Linked DNA regions of Lonchura striata. The protein of the gene in region 2 interacts with the protein of the main gene of each other region in a pairwise test. Links are inferred from orthologs where the notes say so. Each region holds a gene or a part of one and is shown on either strand. Other genes may lie near its edges.

The links.
Region 1: the proteins of MTFR1L (region 2) and ARMC1 interact in binary tests that used the Homo sapiens proteins (3 or more experiments, as listed by UniProt). The two-hybrid records come from large-scale screens. The link is inferred for Lonchura striata from reciprocal best matches to the Homo sapiens genes MTFR1L and ARMC1.

The regions. Positions count from the first base shown.
Region 1 is NC_134603.1:35,405,379-35,413,391, reverse strand, and holds the start of ARMC1 (armadillo repeat-containing protein 1), read right to left. Parts: upstream 3,004-8,013; 5' UTR 2,816-3,003; intron 352-2,815; 5' UTR 340-351; coding exon 148-339; intron 1-147.
Region 2 is NC_134628.1:449,108-456,587, reverse strand, and holds the start of MTFR1L (mitochondrial fission regulator 1-like), read left to right. Parts: upstream 1-4,363; 5' UTR 4,364-4,532; coding exon 4,533-4,547; intron 4,548-6,057; coding exon 6,058-6,162; intron 6,163-6,815; coding exon 6,816-6,925; intron 6,926-7,399; coding exon 7,400-7,480. UniProt on the Homo sapiens protein: Mitochondrial protein required for adaptation of miochondrial dynamics to metabolic changes. Regulates mitochondrial morphology at steady state and mediates AMPK-dependent stress-induced mitochondrial fragmentation via the control of OPA1 levels.

The DNA.
Region 1 (8,013 bases), on a different chromosome or scaffold from region 2:
GACATGCAATGAATATCAACACGATATAAAACCAGGCATTATTTTTCATGTTTAAACAGTTTCATTTGTAAACTGCTTGTTTAAACAACTTGTTTAGTGAAGTTTAAAAATGCCCTACTAACACAGAAATTTATCCAGAATACTTACTAGTAAAGCTGAATGAACAACCTGAGGGTTGGGATGGTCCAAAAACAGAATAAGACCTGGCAGGCATCCTTGATCCTGAACAATGGCCCGTCTGTTCAATGGATCAGCCGCTAGATCTCGGAGTTGGTTAACCACGGATAGTGCATCAGGCTCCTCACTCATAGCAGAATTCATCTTTTCTGCACCATTCATACAAAATACATGCTGGAAAAAAAAATATATTACTACTATCACAACATTTATCATCAATTAAAACAGAGACAAAAAAAAGGACAAAGGCAATTATTTGTTCAAAACAAAAAGGTATAAAAACTCAAGGACTAGAATTCATGGTAGGTGGATGGAATTGGTAAGGATGTGTGGGTCCTGGAATTTATAAACTGGAAATCTAAACTTCCTGTGCAGAGAACAGATATATTTGGATAATAAGATTTTTATTTGTTTCGTATGCATCATTTCAGACCAGTCAATCTTTATGGAGTCTTGTGTGTTGTTTTTTTCTCCTTACACCAGTGACAAATGTTTTCAATAAATCCAGTCTTCTCACAAGGCACCCTAGAAGTCTATAAACATCCTTCTGTGTAAAGGTGCAAAAAACAAAATCTTTTCAGAGTAGCTTTGGCAATCAAAAAATTTTACAGAAAAATGAACCACAAAAATCAACAAAATACTAACAGTGCATCAAGAACAGTGAACATTAAGCTCTATTCTATATATCAAATAACTAATGTAATGCCATACATTCAAAGGTAGAAAGGGCTTTAGAGGCTGTGTTTGAGTTGTTTTTTCTCCTTTTCACAAGTATCCCTCGATAAAAGAGAGCAAGCAGGTCACGCCTTGCTCCAGTCGAAGTCCAAGCCACCAGATCGATTTCAAAGGAGACGTGTTAGTGTGAGAGTATCAGATTGCAGAGCTGTTTAATAATAACTACTTAACAGGCAACAAAAGCATATGTTTGTTCAGAGAAAATGCTAAAATCTTGGAGTAAAAAAAACAGTTTCCTTGTGCCTCAGAAACTACTAAATGCTAACTGTAGTCCTGGTTGTTGCCAGTACCAACTCAGCCAAGTAACTTTAGGCACAAAAGTGGGAGTGAATACATATTGTTAATTTGTTAAATCACTTATTTACCCCCAAATAAAGAACAAACACAATTTTTAAGCAATCACATTCTTTTAGCATCATTTGCCAACATTAAATAGTTTTTCTTCACTGAAGGTTGGCCCCTGAAGAACATAAATTTACCACACTCATCAAAAAGAATGAACCATAAACATGTGTTTAGATTATGATAATTTCTGAAATTTTCAATGAGAAAAAATGCTGTTAACATCTAAGTCAATGCTTCTTACTTCAGGAGAGTGCTAGAGTGAAAAGTACAGGCCAATTATTAGCTTCCAGACTATTTTTATGGACTATCAGAAATCAAAAAGATATCAACTGGGAAATACAGTAGCACAACCAATACAAGTTTGTGTTTCCAAAGGAAAAACTCTAATATAAAAAGAAACAAAACAAAACCTCAGCAAACAAAACCACCAAACAAAACCAAACCAACTCTGTTGCATGTTATTAAATATTTTCCATAGTACAGGAAGGAACTTACTATTCAAGACTTAAAAATCAAGTCAGGAGTGAAGCTGATGCTAACCAAAGTCTCCGACTTCTTCCAAGCACCAGCTTATTCTTATAATTCTTTCCATCCTGATCACCTTTTGTCTTTTTACTTCTAATCCTCTGAAAAAACCCACCGACAAAACCAAGTTTTACCCTCTCCTATTCCATTAGGCTACACTCATCTGAAGGGAGCTCCAAGAAAGATGGAGAGGGACAAAGGCATATCACTATATGCCTTCACAAAGGCACACCGTGACAGGACAAGGGCTAAGGTCTTTAACCTGAAAAGGGAGCAGGTTTGGATTAGAGAGTGGAAGGGTGGTGATGCATTTGAACAAGTTACCCAGAAGCTGTGGATGTCCCATGCCTAGAAGTGTTCAAGGCCAACATGGATGGAGCTCTGAGCAACGTGGTCTGGTGGAAGGTGTTCCTGCTCAGGGTAGGGGGCTTAGAACTAGATGTTCTTCAAGGTCCCTTCCAACCCAAACCATTACATGATTCTGTTATCCTCAGACTCTTCTCCATCTCTCCTAAGCTTCAACTCCGGAGACAGCTCTGAAACCCTCACCCTTCTCCGCGACCTGCAACAATCAATTCCACTAAAACTCGCGCCCCTGCCCGCTTCCCGCAGTATTTTTTAATTAAAAAAAAAAAAATAGGTGGTCTTAAAAGTTATAAGATATCTATAATTCAGGAGCGTGGCAGAGCAGCGAGCTAGATGCCTGCCCCTGTCCCCTGTTCGTAGCTTTGAGATCAAAGCCTGACCCAGGCACCACAACCCTGTCTCCCCCTCCGCTGTGCGCTGTGGCCGGGGCGGCCCTGGAGGCACTTCCACAGCTCCGCTGCAGCCCTCCCCAGGCGGCCGAGGCCTCAGCCCGCCTGGGACCAGGCCCGGGACGCAGCTCCCCAGGCCGGCGGAGACTCAGCCCCGCAGTCACCGGCAGCAGGAGCTCCGGGATGTGTTTGGAAGGCAAGGGGGGTCTCGGTCGCACACGCCGCCCCCTCACGGTCCTTCCCGGCGCGGCCTGTTCCCCTCCCCGGCAGGGCCGTACCGTCGCAGAAGCCGTCCCCGGGCGGACTCGCAGCTCAGCTCCGCGCCCCCATGTCCCGCGGGGCGGGGCGGCCTGCGGAGAGCGGCGGGAGGAGCACGGGAAGAGGCTCGGGAAGAACCGCGGGATGAGCACCGGAACGAGAGCGTCCGCACCGCCCACCGGAGCCCGCTCTGACCCCGCACCGCTCAGCACCGCGCACCGCGATTGGCGCGTACCCAGCGCGGCCCTCCGCCAATCGTGGGGGTTCTTGTTCGCGGGAGGGGCGCGGTGCAGGCAGGGAGGTGTAGTCCGAGCGCTGTAGTACAGAAACACACCCCTCGCAAAGCTCCATTTGTTTTGGGTTTGTTTTTGTCCAAAGGCGGCTACCACCAGAACTTGAATTTACTGCCCAAATAAAGTGTAGCGTGCTCTGTAAAACAATCTAGAGTGAATCACACCTGATGTTGTATGGACAGGGAGTGTGAATCTCCTGGGTCAAAATCCGAAGCAGGTATTTCCCACCCCACGAGATACCGAAATTAGATTTGGTTTGGTATCAAACCAAGGCATCGTTAAGGCTGAAAAAACCTCTAACAGCACCAGGTTCAGCATCCACCGTGTCATGGGGACCAGGGCACTGAGTGCCACATCCAGCCTTTCACAAACACCTCCGGGGATGGTGACTCCACCGCCTCGCACGCCAGCCCAACTCAACGTTTAATCACCCGCTTTGTGGACAAAGTCCTCCTACTGTCCAACCTGAACCTGCCCCGGCACAGCTTGAAGCTGTGTCTTTTATCCCGTTCGCTAGTTGCTAGGGAGACGAGACCGACCCCACGAGGCTGAGGCTAGGGCTAGGGCTAAAGGCTGTGGCTGTGGGACCGGGACCGGCACCGCCCATCCCGGCTGCGCAGCCGGCGTCCCGCCTCTATTGGCGGGTCCCGCCGCTATTGGCGGGTCTCGCTCACGTGACCGCGCGGGGGGCGGCTCCCCCGCTCGCTGCCGGCTCGGCGCCTGCCGGGTAGCGCCTCACCCCCGCAGCGCGCGCCACGTCCCGCCTCCCGCGCCCGCCGCCGGGCCCGCGATTGGCCGGGGCGGCGCCGAGCCGGCCGCGGATTGGCCGAAGCGGCGCCGAGCCGGCCGCGGATTGGCTGCCGAGGCAGGGTCGCGAGCGGCCGCGCGAGCAGCGGGTGAGGGAGCGCGTCGGCCGCGGCGGCGGGTGAGGCGGGGGGGGTGGCGGCGGCGGCAGTGGCGGCGGCCGCGGTTCTCCCCTTCCCCTTGGGCAGTCCCTTCCTTCCTCCTGGGCAATCCCTTCCTTCCTGGGCAGCCCCTCTTGGCGCGGCCGATCCCGGGCGAGGGGCGGTGCGGGAGGGGAAGCTTGCCTGGAAGCACGTCCAGGCCGCTCGGTGCGGCCCCGCTCTCCCGGGCAGGGCAGGTGCCGGCAGGACCGTGGAAGCGCCTCGAGGTGCTGGGCCGAAGCTTTTGTTCGTGCAGGGGACCTACTGTGATGAGAAGGTGACAGGTCACGGGGAGTAATGTAAATACAAGCTCCTGTGGAGATAATGTGGGAAGTTTTTTAAGGACGCTTTGAAGGAGAGAGTTGGCGGATGAGAGGGAAAAAGAGCCGTAATGGTTACGGTGGTTTTATTTTATTTTCTGTAAAACTACGCTGCTTGCTTTGTGCACCTTTAGTGATACTGCTGCCCTTCTCAGGTTCTTCTGTAGTGGTCATAAATAAATAACTTGCTGGGTGAGTGTATTCATTTTGTTTAACGAGCTGTTGAAATTCCAAATATTGAGGGTGAATAGAGTTTGCATGCTGAAATCAATCGTAGTGCATTGATCTCTGCCTAACAGCATAAGCAGTACTGCATTAATATTAACATGCTGTCCTCAGAGTGCTCTGCAGCTCTTGTGAAGGCAAGACTTACAAATATTAATAGGAATTATGTCTTCTGATCCCCACTGGCTTTTACCTGGGTGATAAAAATGACTCAATTCAGTTATCTGCACATCAGGTCTAAAAGTTCTGATTGTTGCTGAATGCAAATAATGTGCTTCGTAGAGGTCACTAGCTACAATTTGATAACTGTGTGTAGGAACTCGGCGTTGTTACACAGAGAGATATCTGGGGGGAAAGTTGGACATTTTAAATGCTTTTTCAGACAAACACACCCTTTTGTTTGTGAGACTTAACCTGCAGTTGTCTCTCAAAGCTGTAGCAGAAAGACTCCGCACAGCAGCTGGTGGGGAGGTCTGTCTGTCCAGCAGGGAAGTGCAGGTGTTTGTCATATAATAATTCCTTGTGATCTATGGGTGTTGAAGGGTTTCACTTACCTCTCAGTGGTATCATAGTGCACTCTGCAGGTATAATCATTGCTGAGCAAAGGCTTTTGATTAAACTAGTGCAGAAACATGTTTTTTGGGGGTGTTTTGTTTTTTTTTTTTTTTTTGCTCTGTCCTTAGCTGTCAAGATAGGATAGCATGAATGAAATCTGATTAATAGGTTTTGCATGTTCAGGTAAATACAATGGGGCTATATTTTTAAGAAAGCTTTAGCAATTTCTGTTGCAAGTATGTATGATTTTCAATTCCTGCTTTAAATTTCATACCAGTACTAGCTTAGATTATCCCTGTAGTATTGACTCATATTTATCTCTCTCTTCATATCTTTCCAAACAGGTGGTTTTGTTAGTACTGGAGTGCTCCATTATTTGTAGCTTCCACACCAAAAAACAGTCTCCTGTTTCTGGCTGTATGACCTCTGACAAATGCATATTTACTTTGCTTGTAGCTGGTCTGTGTCAGTTTGGAACAGAATCTCTACCTTTATCCAAAGATTCTTCTGCCCACTTGGCTGTTGTGATAATGGGGTTTGTTTTGCTTTATCTTCCTTTGTTACTTTTTAAATTATGTTTCCTTGTGGATGTAATTTTATTAGGTTGGGTCATGTGGTAGTCTAAAAGACTGAGGAGACATGCTTGCCCTAGTTCTTGCTAAAATAAGGAGGAGCCTGGTCTTTATGCATTTCATTTTTTATGTGGCTGGTATTCCTTTGAATCTATGGTTGTTTGAAAATTTTATACTTCTTAAAGTTATGTCTTTTGAATTTAGAGACTATACCTTTCATTTTTCAGATTTCATATCTTTGTTTGTTCTTTGTTAAGGGTAATCTGCTCCATCAATCCCATTAAGTCATTCTCTTATGTTTGTAGGGATCCTAAATGAGTGAGAGAAACCTTCAGCAAAAAAAAAAAAAAAAAAATTAATATCCTATTTCCTTTAAAGAGCAAAAGCTCATGTTCTGAAGGGGACTTGGATAAATGCAACATTGCAAAAACTCATAGAGGAATTTGAATTTGAAAGCAGTTGCATCTGATTTTCTTTCAACCTTTCATGTGTAGGACTCACTAAAAAGCGTGACAAAGGGGTCTTGTTCATAATTACTGGATATTATACTTTATGTGTAGAAATTCCAGAGCTTTTGTATTTATTTAACGAACTTTTTGTAATCTATAGGTGGTATTATCTCTCAGCTTTGTAGACTTGATATTTGATATGAGAGTATTGAACAGAGCCTGCGAAAGTGTTTGGGAAAGGTAGGGACAAACAATCTCTAGGAGGCTTGGAAACGTAGCCCTCCTCATTTCTAAGCCAAGGAATTCCTCCATATTTCCATATCAGTAAGAAAGCTCTCCAGCATTGCTAATTTCTGGGTTTCATTGAAATGAACCTATGAAATTCCAACCCCTTCATGCTTTATGCAGTGAAATGTAATTCTTTGCTCTTTGGATGTCTTGGTAATCTTGTCTATCACTGCTGCTCATCCTTGTAATCGTTTTGCTGAGGCACAGGAGAAGGACCATTTTTAATGGCAGTATTACTGTCACTCGGGGCTCTTCATTGTAGTCATTGAGTTATGGAAATTTTTTGGGAATTAAACTATTTTTACTGTAGGTGGCACCAAGGAGAGGATAAATACCACAAAGATCGATATTTTAAGAAAGGTATTATACTGCTTACTAAAAGCAATTAACATGTAACTTCTGCTTCTGAAAATGACATGTATACAGAGCATGAGAAAAGAATTTGCTAATGATTTCATTCTTGCTGTCCAGCAGTTTCTTTTGGAATGAACCCTGTCTGTTCTTGGCACATAAACCAATTGTGAAATATTTGTGTTTTGTGAAGAAAGGTATAGTGCAACATAGTCTGAAAGAAATAAGTATGAAGCTTGCCTGGAAATAATTCTGTAAACTCATATAAAAATATGTTTTGAAGTATTTGTCTTTTAGATAACAGATCAGCTGGAGGTTGTTCAAATATGGTGGTTTTCCTTAGTGCCACAAACTAAAGAAGCTAATCCAGGAACTGGGTGTTACTCTGTGCTCTTTCAGGTTGATTTCAGTCACTTTCTTCTGCAAAAACAGACAGGTCATTGAAAGGGCAAGATATTGATGAGTCTCAAGTACTTTAAGTATTTAGGCTACAGAGGAAACAATGACTTACAAAGTGAACTATAAATATTTGTTTTACTGTAGTCATTTTGTTGAATGATTGCTCTTTCATGTTCAGTCATCGGAGTCTTGGAACCTGGAATTATTAAGGATCACCTTAATATTTTAGGGCAGGATAAGTGTTTTGGACTATTTCCAGTGCTTTGTGTCATCGTATTCCTTCTTTTATTCCTGGGAATTTGAATCCCATTGACCAAGTTTCAGAAATTAATTATCAATATTTCAAAAATTGCTTTGACAAGTTTTTGAACATTGCAAGGTGAAATTCACTAGATATTGTTGTGCTGGATGCTTATAGCTTGTCAGCATTGTCTGTAATCCATGCTATCACCTGTCCATTTAACCTGCCATTGTCAGGGGAAAGCACTGAATACATACTGACTATCCATATGGCACACTGCTTTCTTTCCTGTTGCATCATGGTTGTCTTCCTTGCCTCTTACTGCTAATAGATGTAGGCCTTTGTTTATGCCTGTAAGATGGAACCCACTTTGTAGCTTGCCTGTTTTAGCTTACTACTTCATATTTATACTATTGTCATCCTCATGTTATGCTACTTCTTTTCTACATCTGGTTTTGTGCTTTTAATTGGTTATCTTGTCAGTTTTTCTGTTGTTCTTTTACACATTTTCCTTTAAGTTTCTTAAATTCATGGAAACTTTCTAGACCTGCTCTGATTTCTTTGGAGGAAGTTCTAACACT
Region 2 (7,480 bases):
GCACCTGGAGAAATACAACTTCCCTGTGGAGATGATCATCTGCCTCCCCAACGGCACGGTGGTGAGGCTGGGCTCTTCCCATGGAATGTTCTCTGCAGGGTCTCCCAGACCTGGGACTGCCCTTGAGCCTTTGTCCCTCCACCTGGAAATCTGGAACAAATGTGTTTTAGTTCAGAGACAGAAGAGCAGCAGCTCTGGGCAGGGGCAGAACAGACTTGAACCAACTGTGACTCCTCACTGTCCCTGAGGTTTGGGAAGCCACTGTAGCTTTGTTTCCTGCACCCATGGCCCTTTGTGCTCATCCTTTGAAGAAAATGTCCTGATCAGCACCTACCAGCACATTTATCTCCCCAAATGGGTCACAGCAGATCAGCTGTTAACCAGCTCTGGCTCTGCTGTGCTCCCAGCAGCTCCCACTGCCCTTCCCTCTGGATTTGGGGAGCAGTTGCTAACACATGGCAGCTTGGTGCTGGCTGGGTCAGCTGCTGGGCTGGGCTAGTCCTGCCCAGACACTGCTGGTCACAGCTGCAGGGTCCCCTTGCTGTCCCCATGAGGCTGTGGGCTGTGACAGTGGGTCAGGGTCCCCCTTTGCCATCTCTGGGGCAGCAGGAAGTGTTGGAAGCTCAGGTGCACCCCAGGCTCCATCTCCCCAGCTCCTGCTCACACACATGAGCTGAGCCTCCATGATTTTTCCCAAATCACCTTCATCTTCTTCTTAACCTAAGCAAAGGGTCAGCACCCTTGGGGGAAGATCACACATTCTTCTGTGACTGTGAAAGTCAGACCCGAATTCTGGTTCCTGAATTAGCACTTGGAAAGAATTAGATATTCTGTAGGAGCTGTTACAGCTCTGTCCTGGCTGCAGGCCAAGGCAGTGGATGGGGAATTGTTCTGACCCTTAGAAGTCTCCTCTCATCTGTTCTCTTTGCCAGATTCACCACATCAATGCCAACTATTTCCTGGACATTACTTCTATGAAGCCTGAAGATGCTGAAAGCAGCATCTTTAGTTTCTCAACCAATTTTGAAGACCCTTCAACTGCAACTTACCTCCAGTTCCTGAAGGAAGGGCTGCACAGAGCAAAGCCATACCTGCAGCCCTAAAAACAGGCACCTGAACACCCCACTGAGATGGCCAAAGACTTCAGAGATCTATTTTGGTTACAGCAAAGCCTCCTCATCTCCGTGCCAGACATTGGTGTTGAGCTGCAGGCAGTCCCAGGCCAGGACCTTGGTTTGAGCCTGAGCTCCAGTTTACACAGCCTGCCCTTCTCAGTTCAGGCACATTTCTACAGCAGTGCAAGTACTTGAACCCATTCCCAGTGCACCTGCCTGGCTGTGCCACCCAGCCTCATTTCTTTGCAGCTCCTTTCAGCCTGGTGGGACTGGTGTAACCACGGGCCTGCTGATCTCCAGGACTTGCTGAGTGCAGGGAGCAGCACTGCCACTGTGACCGAACACTCGTGGTGAGGACAGCCTGCTGTCCTGGGGCAGCTCTGGACACTGCCTGACAGTGACAATCTGTGTGACAGGACGGTGGCAGCCGCGTGTGACAGCCCTGAGCAGCCCCCAGCGCCCTGTGTCACCTGGTGGCCTCACTCGGGCAGGGTCTGTGCCCCGAGGGTGGCACGGGGACCAGCAGTGGGCATCAGAGGGGTGAGGTGAGGATGAGTTTGAGCCCCCAGGAGGCTGGAGGACACAGCAGTGAGCAGTGTCCCACCCATCCATCCCTCCAGGGCTCCCTCCCCAGCCGCTCTGGGAGCTTCTCCCAGTGCCCCCTTGGAGCTCCTGCTCTGTCCCTGTTTGCTTTGAGCTTCCAGGTTGTGCTGGGTGAGGAACCATGAAGTTCCCTCTGGGAACTCCCCTGAGAGCCTCACCTGGGTGAGGACTGGGCAGTTCTAAAAGCCAGAAGTACAAACAGTTATTTTCAGGAATTTTTTCCAAAGAGATTGTTCAGACATTAAGCCATTTTCCCTTACCTGAAGCCACCCTGAGCAGTTGCTCCCACTCTGTGCCAATGCCTGGATACAGAATGAGCATAATTTGTAATTTGGAGAAGGAAAGGTTCAGTGGAACGGGTTTTAAGGCATATTCCTACAGACATGTGAGGGGACAAAGCATCCTCAGTAGCTGCCTGCAGCCAGCCCTGGCTGGTGATGCTTTTTCTGCTCTCTGAAGCACAATTTTGTTGGACCAAATCAAGTTTAGGGAAAAGCTTTTTTTTTTTTTTTTCCCTCCCTTCTGACGAGGTATTTTCATTGCTGAGCTCCAGGTGCTGGGAGGAGCCTGGGGGTGGCAGTTACCCTGTCCCCACCATGCCCCAGCTTTCCTGTCCATGGCCTGGGGACTGAGCTTAGCTGCACCTCTGGGCTGTCACTTCACTAATTGCTCTAGTGAGATTAATTAATGGTCCCGGGATGTTTCTCAGTGTTGGCTTTGTAACTATGCATCAGCTCTGCACTTTCCCACAGCCCAGTGGGACAAGCTGGGTCTGGCTGTGCCTCGGGGCAGCACTGCAGAGTTCTGTCACCCCTTCGGGCACCTCCATCCCTGCAGGGCTGCAGTGTTTGCAATCCCGCAGATCCCCTGTTTATTCCCACGAGCCTGGAGAGTGGCAGAGGGAGCCCCAAAGCCACCCCAAGCCGAGGGAGCCCCAAAGCCACCCCCAAGCCGAGCAGCCTGGGGGATCCCGAGGGGACACCGTATCCCTCTCGCTGTCAGGGTGCCCGGCTGCTCCGCGGCTGCCGCCCGGGTGTCCGCGGGTCGGTGCCAGCGCTGTGCCCGCCCGTTCGCTCCGTTCCTCGGTGGCGGGTCCCGCCGCCGCCCCTGCCGCGCCTGGTGACGCCCCGGCCCGAAAGCGCGGCGGGCCCGGGCCGATGTCGGCCGGGAGGGGCGGCGGAGCGGCCCCGGTAAAAACATCCGTGGGGGCGGCGGAGCAGTCCCGGTAAAAACATCCGTGCAGCCTCAGCCCGGCCTCCGCTCTCCTTCCTCCGCCGGGGCTGCGGGTGGGCGAGGGGTGAGCCGGGCGCGCTGCCCCGCACCGGGGTGGCCTCAATGTCCTTCTTTACTCCGGGGTGTCCCTTTACAGTGTACCTTTACACCGGGGTGGCCCCAGTGTCTTCTTTACACCGGGGTATCCCCAATATTCTCTTTGCACGGGGGTGTCCCTGGATGTCCCCCCTGTGCCAGGGTGTCTCCACTGTCCCCTTATCCCCGGGCTGTCCCTGTCCCCGGGCTCTCCCGGGGCTGTCCCCTGTCCCCGGGCTATTCCTGTCCCCGGGCTATTCCTGTCCCCGGGTTGTCCCTTTCCCCGGGCTGTCCCTTGTCCCCGGGCTATCCCTGTCCCCGTACTGTCCCCGTCCCCGGGCTGTCCCCGGGCTCTCCCGGGGCTGTCCCCTGTCCCCGGGCTGTCCCTTTCCCCGGGCTGTCCCCTTATCCCCGGGCTGTCCCCTTATCCCCGGGCTGTCCCTGTCCCCGTGCTGTCCCCGTCCCCGGGCTCTCCCGGGGCTGTCCCCTGTCCCCGGGCTCTCCCTGTCCCCGGGCTCTCCCTGTCCCCGGGCTGTCCCCTGTCCCCGGGCTGTCCCCTGTCCCCGGGCTCTCCCTGTCCCCGGGCTCTCCCTGTCCCCGGGCTGTCCCCTGTCCCCGGGCTGTCCCCTGTCCCCGGGCTATCCCTGTCCCCGGGCTCTCCCCTTTCCCTGGGCTCTCCCCTTATCCCTGGGCTGTCCCTTTCCCCGGGCTGTCCCCGGGCTCTCCCGGGACTGTCCCCTGTCCCCAGGCTGTCCCTGTCGCCGGGCTCTCCCTGTCCCCAGGCTATCCCTGTCCCCGGGCTCTCCCTTTCCCCGGGCTCTCCCGGGACTGTCCCCTGTCCCCGGGCTGTCCCCTGTCCCCGGGCTCTCCCTTTCCCCGGGCTCTCCCGGGACTGTCCCCTGTCCCCGGGCTGTCCCCTGTCCCCAGGCTGTCCCTGTCGCCGGGCTCTCCCTGTCCCCGGACTCTCCCCTTTCCCCGGGCTGTCCCTTTCCCCGGGCTGTCCCCGGGCTCTCCCTGTTCCCGGGCTCTCCCTGTCCCCGGGCTCTCCCCTTATCCCCGGGACTGTCCCCTGTCCCCGGGCTGTCCCTGTCGCCGGGCTCTCCCTGTCCCCGGGCTCTCCCTGTCCCCGGGCTCTCCCCTTATCCCCGGGACTGTTCTCTGTCCCCGGGCTGTCCCTGTCCCCGGGCTGTCCCGGGGCTGTCCCCTGTCCCCGGGCTCTCCCCTTATCCCCGGGCTCTCCCTGTCCCGGGGCTGTCCCGGGCTGTCCCGGCCCGGCGCAGGCGCCGCGGCCCCGGAAGGCGCGGGGCGGGCCCCGGTTCTGTTCCGGGCGGTGGCGGCGGAGCGGCCGCGGCCGGCGCTGGGAGCGGCGCCGCCGGCCCGCAGGTACCGGGGCTGTGCCGTGCCGTGCCGTGCTGTTCTGGGCCGGGCCGGGCCGCAGCGCTCCTTGTGTGCTGCAGTGAGCGAGCGGAGCGGGTGCGATGAGCGGCCGGCGCTGAGCCAGCGGAGATGGACGCGGAGGCCGTAAGTGACACGGGCCGGGACACCGGGACACTGCCCCGGACACCCGGACACTGCCCCGGCACCTGCTCCTAGAGCGGCCCCGGGCACCTGTGCCAGCCCCGGGTACCTGGCCTGGTCCCTGTCCCGGGTATGTGTCCCAGCCCCGGGGACCTGCCCCGGTGACCTGTCCCAGCTCCAGGTACCTGTCCCAGCCCCAGGTACCTGTCCCAGCTCCAGGTACCTGTCCCAGCCCCAGGTACCTGTCCCAGCCCCAGGTACCTGTCCCAGCCCCGGGTATTTGTCCCAGCCCTGGGGACCTGTCCCGGGTCCCTGTCCCGGTGACCTGTCCCAGTCCCGGGTACGTGTCCCAGCCCTGGGGACCTGTCCCAGCCCCGGGGACCTGTCCTGGTGACCTGTCCCAGCCCCAGGTACCTGTCCTGGGCCCCTGTCCCCGGTACCTGTCCCAGCCCCCGGTACCTGTCCCAGCCCCAGGTACCTGTCCCAGTCCCGGGTATGTGTCCCAGCCCTGGGGACCTGTCCCGGTCCCGGGGACCTGTCCTGGGTACCTGTCCCAGCCCCAGGTACCTGTCCTGGTGACCTGTCCCAGCCCCGGGGGCCGCCCCAGAACCTTCCCCCAGCACCTTTCCCCACCAGCAGCTCCCAGGCACTGCCCCAGCCAAGATCTGTCCTCCCCTTGCCCATCGCAGAGGTTGGGTCTGAAGGGCTCCTCAGGAATTTCAGGAGTGTCAGCATGGAGCAGCGCTCAGGGACAGCACAGAACGAGCTGCAGCAATAAATCAATTATCAGGTGTGCTGTGGGCTGAGCTTTGTCAGTGTGGTGTTCTCTATGCAGAGCCTTGTGCTGTTCCTGTCACGGGCAGAGCACTTCACCTTTTGGGTCCAGCTCAGAAGTGTCCTGGGAGCTCTAAAGCAGCTGCTGTTTCTCAGAGCACTCCCCAGGGCTGCTCCCCATGGGACAGGCACTGGATAGACCTGTCACCTGTCACCCAAAAATGTTCAGCTCATCCCAGCTCAGGTGGGAAGGGACCTCTGGAGGTCACCTGGTCCAGCCCTGCTCAGGCAGGGTCTCCTGGAGCAGGTTCCTCAGCAGCAGGTGCAGGGAAGGAGACTCACAGCTGCCCTGGGGTATTTAACAGTGCTTCTGCTAAAGGTGGTGTGAAAGCAGGAGTGTCCCGTGAATGACACTCTCTTTTGATGTCATTTTCCTCCTGGGCCCTTGGTGTGGTGCTGTTTTCCTCCTTATGCCAAATTTCCTTTGTTAAAATGCCTGTTGAGAGTGCCTGTTACTGAGTGCTTCCAGTTTGCAGTCCTGAAGACACTGCACCCATGTCCAAAATGCCCCTGTCTGGCTGTCACCTGTGCCCAGCTGAACAGTTTTGTGAAACGGGGACCTCAGTTATCACAGATTACAAGTGAAGAGATAAAGAGTCAGACATCAGACTCTTGGCAGTTGAGGAGAATTTCCAGATTAATGAGTGGAGCTATTAACGTGTGCTGTGGGTCCTTGCAGACCATCCCCATCTGGCAGAACAAGCCCCATGGCTCGGCTCGCAGCGTGGTCAGGATGATCGGCTCCAACCTGCCCCTGAAGCCCTGTCCCAGGGCCACCTTCGAGGTGAGAGACCCCTGGGCAGGGGGTGGCTGGGGGAGCTGGGGCAGGACAAGGCACTGCCATCAGCTGCTGTGTTGGCCCCACACATCTGCAGGGTTGTAGACACAAAACCTGCACCAGTACAGTTAATAAATGTATTTATTTATTATTATTTATTTCTTCTTTAATTCTGTTCTTGTAAAGTGATCACTGGCAGCCTGGGGAAATCCCTGCTCAGGCAGTGTCTGAGCTGGAGGAGAGGGAAGGGTGGAGCTGCTGAGGCAGGGTTTTGCTGTGTGACCTCCAAGGGGCCCTCTGGGCCTGTTCCAGGATTGTGGAGTCCCCGATGTCACCCCTGGAGCGCAGGGCTGGCACTTGGAGCAGCAGAGGGTGGCACGTGGCCTTGGCAGCGCCTGGCCTGGGGCAGGTGTCCCCTCCTGCCTCGCACACACAGCAGCAAGGAGCAGGAGCTGGCCCAGGGAAGTGCCCAGACCCGAAGGATTTATGTCCCGGCTCCAAAAAATAAAAAAATGGTGCAAACTAAAGGAAACCTGCTGGAATTGCTGTTGTGCATGTGGCAGACACAGCTGCTCACGGCACAGGGCCTCTGACAGCACATCTGGGGCAGCTCCAGGAGAACAAACAGCATCTCCTCAGCAGCATTTCCTTCCTGCCAGGTGCTGCCAAGTGTCTCAGATCTGTATCTGGGTGATGTGCCCCCCGTGCCCACCTTGGCTGACATCGTGTGGATCGCAGCGGATGATGAGGAGACCTACGCCAGGGTCAGGTTGGTTTTCATCTGCTGCTTTCTGCCACAGAACTCAGGCCAGACCCTGCTCAGATGACCACAGCTCCCAGTCCCCTCTGGGTCTGATGTAGTGCCTCTTAAAAGACATTTTTCCCCAGAGAAGGGGAAAAAATTGACAAAGTCCCTGGAGAGGAATTCCTGTAGGAAGTGCCAGCAGCCTGTGCCATGCCATGGCACTCCCTGGTCTGTGCACAGTAACCCCCTGCTCCAAGGTGTTTTTTGGTCAGGAAGTGGAAGGGCTGAGTTCTCCCAGGACTGAAATGCCCTGTCCAGCCTGGCCTTGGACACTTCCAGGGATCCAGGGGCAGCCACAATTTCCTGTGCTTCAGAGAGCACCTCTGGTGGTACACAGAGGCTTCACTTGTTTTGTTGGAGGCTCTGCTGCCCTCAGAGCGGGTCAGGCTTTGCCATGGAGAGGTTTGGGTGTGGTGACTGACAGGTTTTTGTCCCCAGAAGTGACACTCGCCCGCTGAAGCACAAGTGGAAGCCGAGTCCCTTCACGGTGATCCAGAGGAACGCCTCGGTGCCCAACCT